Caenorhabditis elegans: one gene and its partner. The protein of the gene in region 1 purifies or fractionates together with the protein of each later gene. This does not show direct contact. Each region holds a gene or a part of one and is shown in the gene's direction. Other genes may lie near its edges. The genes, in order: spe-54 and trm-2A.

What was found.
Region 2: the proteins of spe-54 (region 1) and trm-2A fractionate together in Caenorhabditis elegans (co-fractionation; one large-scale study listed by BioGRID). This does not show direct contact.

The regions. Positions count from the first base shown.
Region 1 is NC_003279.8:8,867,705-8,872,276, forward strand, and holds spe-54 (Tyrosine-protein phosphatase domain-containing protein), read left to right. Parts: upstream 1-2,010; 5' UTR 2,011-2,076; intron 2,077-2,399; 5' UTR 2,400-2,402; coding exon 2,403-2,528; intron 2,529-2,633; coding exon 2,634-2,760; intron 2,761-2,928; coding exon 2,929-3,012; intron 3,013-3,057; coding exon 3,058-3,178; intron 3,179-3,247; coding exon 3,248-3,469; intron 3,470-3,536; coding exon 3,537-3,626; intron 3,627-3,678; coding exon 3,679-3,772; 3' UTR 3,773-3,827; downstream 3,828-4,572. Other genes in the region: F55H12.2 (uncharacterized protein), read left to right, coding at 273-398, 451-537; snf-2 (Transporter), read left to right, coding at 4,247-4,572.
Region 2 is NC_003283.11:902,946-911,229, forward strand, and holds the start of trm-2A (tRNA (uracil(54)-C(5))-methyltransferase), read left to right. Parts: upstream 1-2,017; 5' UTR 2,018-2,022; coding exon 2,023-2,168; intron 2,169-2,245; coding exon 2,246-3,004; intron 3,005-4,557; coding exon 4,558-4,783; intron 4,784-5,814; coding exon 5,815-6,306; intron 6,307-7,708; coding exon 7,709-7,791; intron 7,792-7,942; coding exon 7,943-8,048; 3' UTR 8,049-8,284. Other genes in the region: fmo-5 (Flavin-containing monooxygenase), read right to left, coding at 541-602.

The DNA.
Region 1 (4,572 bases):
GTCGGAAGAGAAGAGAATGGGGGTATAAAATGAAAAGGGAATGGGGCAAAAAATGTGAATCTTATGATTTTGTACAAGAATAAAACAAAGTTTGACAATTTTTTTTTCGTTTCCAAGAAACTTGAAATCGTTCTTGTTCTTCATATTCTCGTTTCTTCTTTCATTCTTCAATTTTCCCAAACTTTTCATTTCTTGTTCTTTAACTTTCTTGGTACAAATTTTCTAACTGAATCTATTTTCAGCAATTTCAAATCAACTCTATAATTTCAAAAATGTCTGGAAAGCTAGAAATAATCTCACTTGAAGAATTTGATGAACCATTCGAGGAGATTCTCAAAGCAGAAGCCGAAGAAGCTGAAAAACAATGGACTGGAAATTCATTTGATTCATGGGAAACAGTCAGTTCTGTTGGTGTCAACGTATCATATTCAAATTATCAATTTTAAAAAGGATTCTGCAAATTATTCTGCCATATCAATCATCTCAATCGAATTACGGGCTTTAAATTCAAATCAATCTCACTCTTTCAATTTCTAAATATATGTGATTTAATTGTATGAAGCATTCCATGAAAATAAATTAATTTTATGAAGCTTGAAGCAACTTTTATCTTCAAAAATCAGAAAATTTTAGATTGCTGTGGCTTTTTCCATTTTTTTGAAACTTAAAAAAAATTATTTTGCAAAAAATCTTAAAAAAACACCGGGGATTTGAAATTCAACTGTTAACTGAAAATATGACAAATGTTTCAATAACATCAAATTAATAAGGAACTTAACTGGGTTTGAAGCAACAAAGTGGTTCAGAATTCTCATGTTAACCATGACAAATACACGCTGATCATATCACCAACGGACATAACGCACACTGTGACTTGCAAATGGTGACAAACGGTGATAGATTTGTCAAAAATGAATTGCTATCTATTTACAACCAAGTTTTCTTAATATTTTGAATTAAATTGAATTTATTTACGTTCTACAGAAGACTTAGAATATCAGGAGAGGACCACTCTTGACTCTTCCCTCGTCCGCTCGTCTGCAAAACGTCTCCCAACAAAGTGAAAACTTAAAATGAAACAGAAAAAAACTTTAAATATTTCGTTTAGACAAGATACCGGTCAGCAAAAACTGCGGGCGTAGAGTAAACGAAGGGGCAATAAATAAAAAACAATCATAATACAGAATTTGTAAAAGTCACAACCGAAATCCTTTCTTAAAAAGTATGCTTAAAATAATTGATTTCCTATAAACTGCGTTTTTTCTCTAGTTTCATTCAAATTTAACCACCTTAAAATTTAATCGCACTGTTTCTGAAACAGTGAAGTCTCTGACATTTTTTGTAGGACTATGATTTCAATGTAAAAACCTACAGAAAATTTCAAAGCCTAGAACCATCATCTTTGGCCTAGAAACCCACTGTCTCGTTCCCAAAACTTTGGCAAATTGATATGATAAGTGATAAGATAAGATAAGAATTCAAATTTTGTTCTTTTTTATTTCCTTTTTTTGTTGTACCACAATGAAAAATTGAAAAAAGACAAAAAGTTCAGAAGGTGTCACCTGATTCATTCACTTTTTTGTTTCATCTCTTCTCGTGAATTTCTCGTGATTTTCTCCTTTTTTCAACGGAAAAAGTTATATGATAAGGTTGACAGTTTTTTTCAAATCAAATTAAAGATCGGTGGCAAATACCAAAAAGAAGCCTGCATTAAAATTAAACTCTAAAATTTGAAACTATAAAAGTTGTAGAAAATGAAAACAAACATGTCGGCTAACATCTTTTGATGAGCAAAATATATTGATTCACATCAGTTGAAAATATATATTAGTTTATAAAACGTGAAAACTTATAAGTTTATAATATAAGCAAGTAAGTTTTGATAATTCAAAAAATAGTTGGAAATATAAACATTATTTTTAACGGCAGAAACTATTACAAAGTTCAGGGGCAGGGCATGGGGACAGAAGAAAAACAACGATGCCTAGAAAAATAAAAAAATAAGAATTCAATTTATTACCTAAACAAAAACTATTGTGTCGTGGAAGCAAAGAATCGAGAGGTTCAAATTTGTCAGTAAGTTATCTTATCACAGTGGGATTATAATTTTAAAAAAAGCGTTCTTCTTCAGTTTCGTTAGAATTTTATTTATATTTACTTCCTACCACATAATCCATTGCATGAGTAATACCTGTTTGCTAGTGGTCCACCTACTTGCCAACGGTCTTGTCTTATTTCTGCCTACACGCCTGCATACGTTATGCCTACTAGTGCATGTTTGTCTACAGGGCCACTAATGTTCCTAGTTTTGTGCATGACGGATTACACGCCTTTCTCGTTTTAGTGATTTATTCGGAATCAGAAAAATCCAATTTGTTCATATCACTTCTTTTTTTCAGAAAATGGCGGATACTGTTCAAACAAATGGTCGTGCAAGTCTCTTAGCTGCCGTCAATAATCGTGCTTCAACCCGTTCCACTCGTAAAAAAAAGACGACGATGCTTTCCCCAAAAAAGTTTTGCGATTTTGTAAGTTTACAATGTTTAATTTTAATTAAAGTTAGCGCTTGCTTTCTTTTATACAGGAAACTTATTGATCAGGTTTAATAAAATATGAAAACTTCAAACTTTCAGATTAATTCCAAAACGAACTCGAAAAGTTTTGAAGCTGGAGTTGCAGAGTTTTACAAGGAAACATATTTGGAATCTCCAACCTTTTTCAACTATTTTAAGTCACCGAAAGATAAGAATTTTTCCGAAAGTGAGTTCAACAACTAAAAAGTTTTGAATATTGTAGGTGAAGTTGCGCTAGTGTGACTCAAAATAGATTGAAAGAACTAAATGTCTATTTAAGCCATTCGCAATTCTTCACCTGTACTACTCCACCTTTAAAAGACTTTTGGCTTCAAAAGTATCATAAACATTTTAGATGTCTGGCTTTACGACGCCACCCGTGTCATTGTTCCTGGTGTGGACTACTACCATGCTTCTTGGGTTGATGGGCTTAAGCCAAGTATGAATATCATTTATTATTTTGAAATTAATTTTGAAAATTCAGATCAATACATTCTTGCTCAAGCTCCACGTGATGCCAGCGCAGCCAAGGACTTTTTTAAACTTTTGGAGCACGTGAAGGCTGAAGGTCTTATTGTTGCTGAAGGAGCGGACGAGTTTTCAAGGTACGAGCTTTGATTCATAGCAATTGATCTTATTCAGAGAATTAAGTTATTTCAAAAGTACATTTTCAGTGCAATAACGGCAAAATTTGAAAAAGGAACAGGGAAAAATGATTTCGTGTCAACTGCCGTCATCAAGGAAAACGGTCTGCATTTGAAAGCAATCAAGTTTTGTCGTTGGGCTGAACCACTTTCGGCAATTGAAATCAATGATATGTTGGAGAAAAGTCGAAAGTATTTGGGATGCCCATTGAAGGGTCCTTTGGTTATTGTGTGCAAAGATGGAGCTGCAAAGTATGATTTTTTCCAATATTAAAAATAGTTTATCGTTATTGTTAAGCGAATTACCCTTTCTTTTTAGAAGCGGTTTAGTGGCTTTTATCGATACGGAAGCGGATCGTTTGATGAAACACGGGAAGGCCAAGCACACTGACACTATCAAACAAATTCGGTACGTTCCCCTTTTCACTATTTATAATTATTCTAATCTGAAATCTTTTCAGTTTCATGAGAAGCAATACGTTTGATACATTCGACAGCTACGATCTTGGAATTAACTCACTTATTGAATTGTGCAATAGATACAAGAAGAAATAGACAATTGCATACTTTTTATGGGTTGAATGAAACGAATAAAGCTTTGCATGCTTCACTTTTTGTTTATTCAAAAGTAGTTGAAGTGGATAAAAGTACACAATTAGGTAGGCAGTATATCAACCTGCTTTATGCCTGCCTCCCTACCACGCATTGTTTATCATTATATATTTTTCGCAAAATCGCTTCATTAATAGGCTTACTATTTGAAAAGTTACACAAAAAAAAGAAACACTGGATATTTAAATATACACAATTTACGTGGACTTGTTCAAATTGAAATTATAGATTTCCATTGAACGTGGACTTTTCGTGCCATATTTAGACCTTTCGTGAAAAAAATGCTGCAAAATTGAAAAAAAAAACTGGAACTTACTTTTAATCAAAGTTGATCATTATTTTATTTCGCAGTCGAAGAATATTTCATCGGAATTTGCAAAGGATTTATAACAAAATAGAAGAAGAACTAGCTGAAGAATGCCGACCCCTGTATCAACGAAGAAGACTATAGCACCTTCAACGATGAAGACTACAGTGGCTCCGCCGACGATGAGAACGACAATGGCTCCGACGACGATGAAAACGACAGTAGCGCCGCCGACGATGAAGACCACAAGATCACCATCAACAATGAAGACGACAAAGGAACCATCAATGACGCAGACAACGAAAACTGTTCAATCGACAATTACAAATCCTGTTTCGTTTCTTGATTCGGAGGTGACGGCCAAGGAATATGTGAAAGATGGTGGAGCAGCGAGAAAAGCATATCGAGATGCAATACAAGTGGAGAACACTGATCG
Region 2 (8,284 bases), on another chromosome or scaffold:
AAATGACTACTGAAGCGCACACGTTGATTTACGAGCTCGATTTTTGAAAAGTGACAGCGATATTACATTTAACTGTGTTTCTTAAAGGAGGGCGCATTTATGAGAAAGGGTCTCGCCACGCGCCATTCATTGATTTTTGGAGTGCGTGGCGGGACCATTTCGAAAAAATGCGCCCTCCTTTAAGGTCGTACGAGTGAAGAAAAAATGCACTGTAATTTCAAATTTAAAAAAAATTATTGATAAATAAACTTAAAACAAGTAAAAAAGTGAGCCCGTAAATTGACACAAGCGCTACAGTAGGAATTTAAAGGATTACTGTAGTTTTCGCTACGAGATATTTTGCGCGTCAATTATGTTGTCTAATACGCATTCTCAAAATGTAGTGTTTTATCTATTTTTCTCTTCAAAATGAAGTTTTATATTCAGATTTTCACATTTTTAGGCAAAATTTCAAGAAATTTTTCATTTTTATCACAAGAAAAAAACGGTTAGGGTATAAAATTGGTATTGCCTCGCACTTCTAAAAGAGAACCCACATACCTGATAGACGGGAGCCCGGAGGCTCCGGCACCGACCACAAGAAGTTGTTTTTTGGCTACCATTGTCGAAAAAAAAATCGTTACGATTTGATAACAAAACTGTCTTTTCCCAACGTATTTATAGTGCGGTGGGGTGATCAATTTGGGTAGACTGGCTATAACGAGAGATATGGAGTCTGGTGAGAGACGCAGACAGCGAGGGACTACTCGTGTGGTGAACGTGTTTGATCATGGTGCATCAGACTAGAAAAAGGTTGTCTCGTGAACCTTTTTTAACCTTTATGGCTAGAATTTAGTTCAGTCACATTTTAAAAAAGCAAAAGTGTAATTTCATGGTCTCACAGCGATTGAGATATTAGTGTGAAAATTATTTTTAATGATTTTTTTCCCATTTTTCTTTTCTATTCAATCAATAATGACTATTTTTAACAACCAATTCTGCTCAAAAACTAGGCGATTTTTACTTTCTCAGGCCACCTGCGCCACAGCGCCTTTGAAACGGATTTCGATTTTAATTACTACAGTAATCTCTCATTGGAGCGCGCTTGCAAAATTTGCAGTTCTTTTAATTTTTATACCAATTGATTTGATGAAGTTGGCTCAGAAACAGAAGATGAAAAAATGGTTTTTAGAAGAAAAACAGTAAATAATATTTTCAGCGATAAAATTGGTGACAAAATTTAATTGTAAAGTTTGAAAATATTGAATTTTACGTGAATTCTCCTGTTGTGCTGAAAATACATCCTTGCGGGACAGATCAATGGAAAAAAGTGGTTAACATTTTGTTTATATTCAAATTTTAGACTAACCTAGGCTGACCTAGCCTACCCCAGGCTGACCTAGCCTACCCCAGGCTGACCTAGCCTACCCCAGGCTGACCTAGCCTACCCCAGGCAGGCCTATCCTACCCCAGGCAGGCCTAACCTACCCCAGGCAGACCTAGTCTACCCTAGGCAACCTACCCCAGGCAGGCCTAACCTACCCCAGGCAGGCCTAACCTACCATAGGCAGACCTAGTCTACCATAGGCAGACCTAGTCTACCATAGGCAGACCTAGTCCACCCTGGGCAGACCTAGTCTACCCTAGGCAGACCTAGTCCACCCTGGGCAGACCAATTTTCAATTCCGGCAATTTTCCGGTTTGCCGATTTGCCGGAAATTTCCAATTTCATCGACATTCTGAAGTAATATAGCTTAAACTCCACCAATACTGTTTATTTTATATCAGTTTTGCGTTCAAATTGTATCGAAAAAACTCCTTTTTAAACACCCTCCGTTTTAATTCTCAATAGAGCGCGCTTGCCGAAGAGGCGGTGTACTCCTCTCGGACACCTGCGATAATTGTTGTTTTTGATTTATATTCTAGATTTTCCCCGAAAAATTCCGGTTTTCCTTCTTTTTGAATGGTTTTTTACACTAAAAGTCGCATAAAAAAGCTTTAAAACCTTTAAAAATCGATAAATAATCAAGTTTTCCAGGTAAAATGGCGGATCCGGTCGATATTAAGACGGAAACTCCGGAGTTAACTCCAGAAGTCAAAGAAGAAAAGGCAATCGATTTGGATCGGATTCATATTAAGAATATCCCAACATTTATCGGATTCAAGCAGTTCAAGAAAGTATTGGAAAAGTGGGATTTTTTTTCGATTTTTTAATTAAAAAATTGATTTTTTAATTAAAAAAATTGATTTTTTTTCCTTTTTCCAGAATCCTCGGCGACGTAAAATCGAAAAAAGTGCGCCATATGTCAGATTACGCCTATGTGACGTTCGAAACCCCAGAGGACGCCCAAAAAGCTATAAATCTAGTCGATGGCTATGACTACAAGAAATTCATACTGTCAGCGCAGCTAGCAGCCACAGAAGTCAAATCTTTCCGTCCGGCTAACCCGGAAAATACCGAGCCAGCTCAGCAGAAAACCGCCCGTGAAAGTGTAACTCCGCTCGCCGAGATGGAATACGGGAAGCAGTTGGAGTTGAAGCAGCAGAATAGTGTGGGCGTCGTTGAAAAGTTGTACCGGCAGCTAATTCAGAATAAAGTTGCACATTTGGGCAAACAGACTCAATTCCGAGATCGTGTTCTTCGGGAAATTCTCCCCGCACCGAAAACCGCCGGTTATCGAAATAAATGTGAATTTACAATTGGTCACGATTTGAATGGAGAAATTTGCGTGGGATTCGTCGGCGGAAGATTCTCGAAAAATCAGCATTTTGTGATACCGCCCGTCGACGTGGATATTGTCAGCACACAGATGATGGCGATCGTTGGGGATGTGCATGAATTTGTGAAAGAATCGGCGTTGGAGCCATTTAATGAGTTTGATAGGAAAGGATTCTGGCGGATGCTGACGATTCGGGAATTTGGAGGAGATGTTATGCTGATTTTTACGGTTTTTCCGCTGGAGGATGGCGTGGAGAGGATGGAAGAGATTCAGAAGAAGATTGAGACGAGATTTTTGGATTTTGAGTGCGATTTTCTCATTTTTTAGGAAAATTTCCAATTTTTCAGAAGAAAAATGACCAAAATTGAAAATTTTATGTTTGAAACAAAAAAAAATCGATTTTTTCGTCAAACGCACAAAATTTCTCATTTCATTGATATAAAAATGTGGAAAAAAGTGCGTTCTAACTGAAAATAACATTTATTTCTGTTAAAAAACTTATAAATGCCTCAAATAGTCTATTTTTGGTCTTTTCAAGCTTTTCAACAAAAATAAATGCTATTTTCAGTTAGAATGGACCATTTTCTATGTTTTTATATGAATTTTTGAAGAACTTTTAAGTTTCTGAAAATTCCCGGAAAAAATATTTGAAAATCTTCTTACAAACTTTTTTTTTGCAACTTTTTCACGGAAAATATGCAAATTTACCATAAAATTCAATTTTTATCAACCAAAAGTTTGAAATATGTTTCAAAAAATCGAAATTTTTTGTTTTTTCCAACAAAAATTTGTAATTTTTGCAGAAAAAAAAACAGAAAATTTAACAAAAAATTGCTTTGGAAAAAACCGAAAATTTCAGAAAAAAAACCGTCTATTACAGGATCACAAAATTCTGAAAATGCGTACTGGGCAACATATTTGACGCGCAAAATATCTCGAAGCGAAAACTACATTAATCTTTTTAAGGACTACTGTAGCGCTTGTGTCGATTTACGGGCTCGATTTTCGAAAATATTTTCTTGTGAGTTTTGACGAATATTTAAAAAAAAAGTGAAAATCGCTAAGAAAACGGTTTCGAAAATCGAGCCCGTAAATCGACACAAGCACTACAGTAGTCATTTAAAAGATTACTGTAGTTTTCGCTACGAGATATTTTGCGCGTCAAATATGTTGCAAAATACGCATTCTCAGAATTTTTGTGTTTCCGTGTTCAAATGGATCAGGTTTGTAACGACATTTTCAAATAATTTTTCGGGAATTTTCTGAAATTTATAAATTCTCTCAAAACTCATATAAAAATGTAGAAAAAGGTTCGTTTCAACTGAAAATATTATTAATTTTCGTTGAAAAGCTTGAAAAATGCCTCAAATAGCCTATTTGTGGTTTTTTTAAAGCTTTCACACAAAAATTAATGTTATTTTCAGTTGGAACGAACCTTCTTCTGCCTTTTTATATGAGTTTGAAGATAATTTTTGAATTTCAGAAAATTCTCGAAAAATTATTGGAAAATCTGCTTACAAACCTGGTTCGATTTAACACAAAACCAAAAAATTATGAAAGTGCGTACTGGGCAACATATTTGACGCGCAAAATATCTCGTAGCGAAAACTACAGTAATCCGTTAAATGACTACTGTAGCGTTTGTGTCGATTTACGGGCTCGATTTCCGAATTGTTTTTTTTTTTCGAAAGTCAAGCCCGTTAATCGACACAAGCGCTACAGTAGTCGTTTAACGGATTACTGTATTCTTCGCTACGAGACCCTATTTTGCGCGTCAAATGTGTTGTGCAATACGCATTCTCAGAATTTTTGTGCTCCCGTAATACAATCAAAAACCCCATACCTTAAAATTTTTCAGAACATTCAAGGAGAAAAAGTACCGAGTGTGTAGTATCTATTGGCAACAAATGGTTCATATCAGTGATACACCGAACTTCAAGCTGATCGGTGGAACTCCGTACATTTATGAATCTCTGTTGGACTGCCGATTCCGAGTATCACCGCCAGCGTTTTTCCAGACGAATAGCCAGGCGGCGGCGGTTCTCTACTCGACGATTGGAGAGCATTGTGGGCTCAGTGAAAAGGTTCTTGAAGAATCTGCGATTTTATTATTGAAAAGCGCATTAAAAATGCCGAGAAAACGCGCTCCACGGCCAATTGAATACGCCCCGCCCCCAAGCCAAGGGTCTCGTTAGGTTTTCAGTGATTTTCGCTGTTTATTTGGTGTTTTAAATGAATTTTGTGTCAAAAATAATGAAATCAATTTTTTAACAGGATTTTACATGATTTCCACCTAGAAATTATTATTTTTAATGATTTTCTGCAGAAAATAATAATTTTTACTAAAAATCAATATTTTTCTATGATTTTTACCCAAAAAATCAGGTTTTTTTCTATTAATTTTGCCTAAAAATCATTATTTTAAATTTTTTCCCCAGAAAAGCTTTTCTTTCCATAAAACCAGAATTATTCTATGATTTTCACCCATAGAATCAGTATTTTTAACTAAAATCAGAATTTAAACATTTAGGATTCCCCGATGATTTCTACCCGAAAAATCAATATTTTTCAATAATTTTTACCCGAAAAATCAGGTTTTTTAATGTTTTTCCCAGAAAATCATAATTTTTACCTGAAAACTAGGATTTTTGATGATTTTCACTCAAAAATCAGCATCTTCATTAATTTCATCAATTTCAGCAAAAAAATCATTAAAAACCACTGAAAAAATGACAAAAAATGCTTGAAAATTGGCGAAAATTTCCGGTTTTCCCGCCAAAAAAATCAAAATATTGATTTTTAGTAAAAATTATTATTTTCTGCAGAAAATCATCAAAAATAATAATTTTAGGTGGAAATCATGTAAAATCCTGTTGAAAAATTGATTTCATTATTTTTGACACAAAAATAATTTAAAACATTAAATAAATAACGAAAATCACTGAAAACCTAACGAGACCCATGGCTTGGGGGCGGAGCTTTTTCAATTCGCTGTGGAGCGCGTTCACACGCCGAATTTTGAAAAATGCTCAAAAATTTCAATTGTTTCTTAATTTTTGACTGAAAATCTGCAAAATCGATGAAATAAAAAGTGAAAATAGTTTTTTTTCTCCAGAAAACCAACGAAGATGTTCCAGTGGAAACTGATGCATCGGAAAAAGCCCCAGAAGCTCCAGCAGCACCTTCAGAGCCCATCCCCGACGATCCATCCGATGCTCCTCCGGCAAAGATCCCGAGAATCGAGCCGGAGCCCACTGCAGCAGATGAAGCACCTGCTCCAGAAGATCCCGGAACCATCCTTCTTGACATTTGCTGTGGAACCGGAACGATCGGTCAATGCCTTCTGAAAAATATTCAAAAATCGCAAAAAGTGTGCTGCATCGGAATTGAAATGATCGCCGAAGCGGTGGAGGACGCCAAACAAAATGCGAAACAGAATAAAATGGAAACATGCTGTAAATATATTGCTGGAAAAGCCGAGGACACATTCCGATCGATGAGATATCATCTGCCGAATGGTTTTGATCTACGAAAATCGAGAGTGGTCGGAGTGCTCGATCCACCGAGAGCCGGAATGCACGAGAAGGTTATTCTCGCGTGTAGAGAGGTTCGAATATTTGGATTTTAGAAATTCCAAAAATTACCTTTAAAACTTGTAGATTTACGCGTAAATTTTTTTAAAAATAGGAATCGAGGGTGTTCGTTTTTCGATTTTTTAAAAAATTATTTTATCGTTGTTTCGATTTATCAAAAATTAGCTTAACATTTTGGCTATTATTCTTCTTTTTAGAAGAAATTGTTATGTTTTTTCTTACCAATATAATCAATTTTTTTAAATCATAGTTTATGGTTAATTTTCTGAACATTTTTTTCGATTTTTCAATTTTCACTGAAAAACATCAACAAATCTTTAAAAAATGCCGCTTTTGATAGGAATATATTATTCAGACGCGAAATTTCGGGGTTTTCGCGACTTCCCGGTCTCGACACGACAAATTTTTGCGTGCGCCTTTAAAGGTGGTGTACCGAAATCTGAAAAAAAATTTCAAATGACTCCAAATTTTCACCTGATTCCGAATAATTATGTTAAAAAATCCGAAAAAAATTTCCCAGATGTTATATTACCGCTTGAAATCGAGAATTTTCGCGCCAGAGACGCCATATGTCGATTTACGAGATTTGTGTATATTTACGAAATGTTTATTTTATATCGGATGCTGTTTTTCGTTTTTCAATGAGTTTTCTTCGTTTTCGGCGGTTTTTTGTTTGGAAATGTATGTTTTAAGGTCAATTGAACATTCTTTTTAATCAAAAAATTAGAACATTTTCCATAAAAAATTTTTGCTCGTTTTTTTGATACGAAAATGTTTAATTGACCTGAAGAAACACATTTTCGAAAAAAAAACCGCCGAAAATTAAGGAAATTCATTGAAAAAAAAGGAAATCAGCATCGGATAAAGATTAAACATTTCGTAAATATACACAAATCTCGTAAATCGACACGTGACGTCTCTGGCGCAAAAATTCTCGATTTCAAGCTGAAATATAAAATCTGGGAAATTTTTTTTTTTAATTTTTTAATCATAAATATTCGTAATCAGTGGAAAATTTGAAATCTGAAAATATTTTGATAATATTTTCCAGATTTCAGTACCAAGGGTGTCAGTTTATCGAATAAGAAAAAGTTGAAAAACGAAAATTTTTCGATTTTCAAAAATTAGCTTAAAAATTTGTTTAAAAGTTTTTTCGATTTTCCCACGTGGGGTGTCAGAGTGTCCCACATCGGTGTGATCTACAAGAAATGCGGGAATTCCGACGCGCTGACTTCTCAACACATTTCTTATGGTTAAGAGCGAGATGACGTCACATTTTTCTGAGAAAAAATTCCCGCATTTTTTGTAGATCACACCGATATGGGACACTCTGGCACCACGTGCTTTTCGGTTTTTCGAAAGAAAAAACCGGCAGTCCTGGCCTGTAACACCTGAAAACGGTTTTTTTTGCTCCAGATGGAAACAATGCGTCGTCTGATCTTTGTCTCGTGTGAACCAAACGCCGCCATCTCCAACATCGTGAATCTGTGCCGTCCGTCGTAAGTGTATTGCACACACCTAGCACAGTCTTATCTCACTACAATCTAAATGTGATAAGACTGTGTGTTTTTCTCTCCGTCTCCCTATCTCTCTCTCTCTCTCTCTCTCTCTCTCTCTCTCTCTCTCTCTCTAAAACCAATTCATTTATAGGTCTCGAAAATACACTGGAGACGCGTTTTCGGTGACCCGTGTGCAGCCGGTCGACATGTTCCCGCAGACGAATCATATGGAGTGGATTATTCAATTGGATCGTTAATTTTTGCAATTTTATTGTTGTTTTTTTTTCGTTGTTAAATTTTATATTATAGAAGCGCAGAAAAATGCCTTTTTTTTGAAGTTGGCGAGGAAACGCGCTCCACGGAGAACGGGTCTTGTTGGGTATTTTTCGTTGTTTTCTTGATTTCTATGCCAAAATTGATGTAAAAATTGATTTTCAACCGAAAATTAATTTTCAAAACTCCATTTCGACCTGAAAATCATGATTTTCAGGTC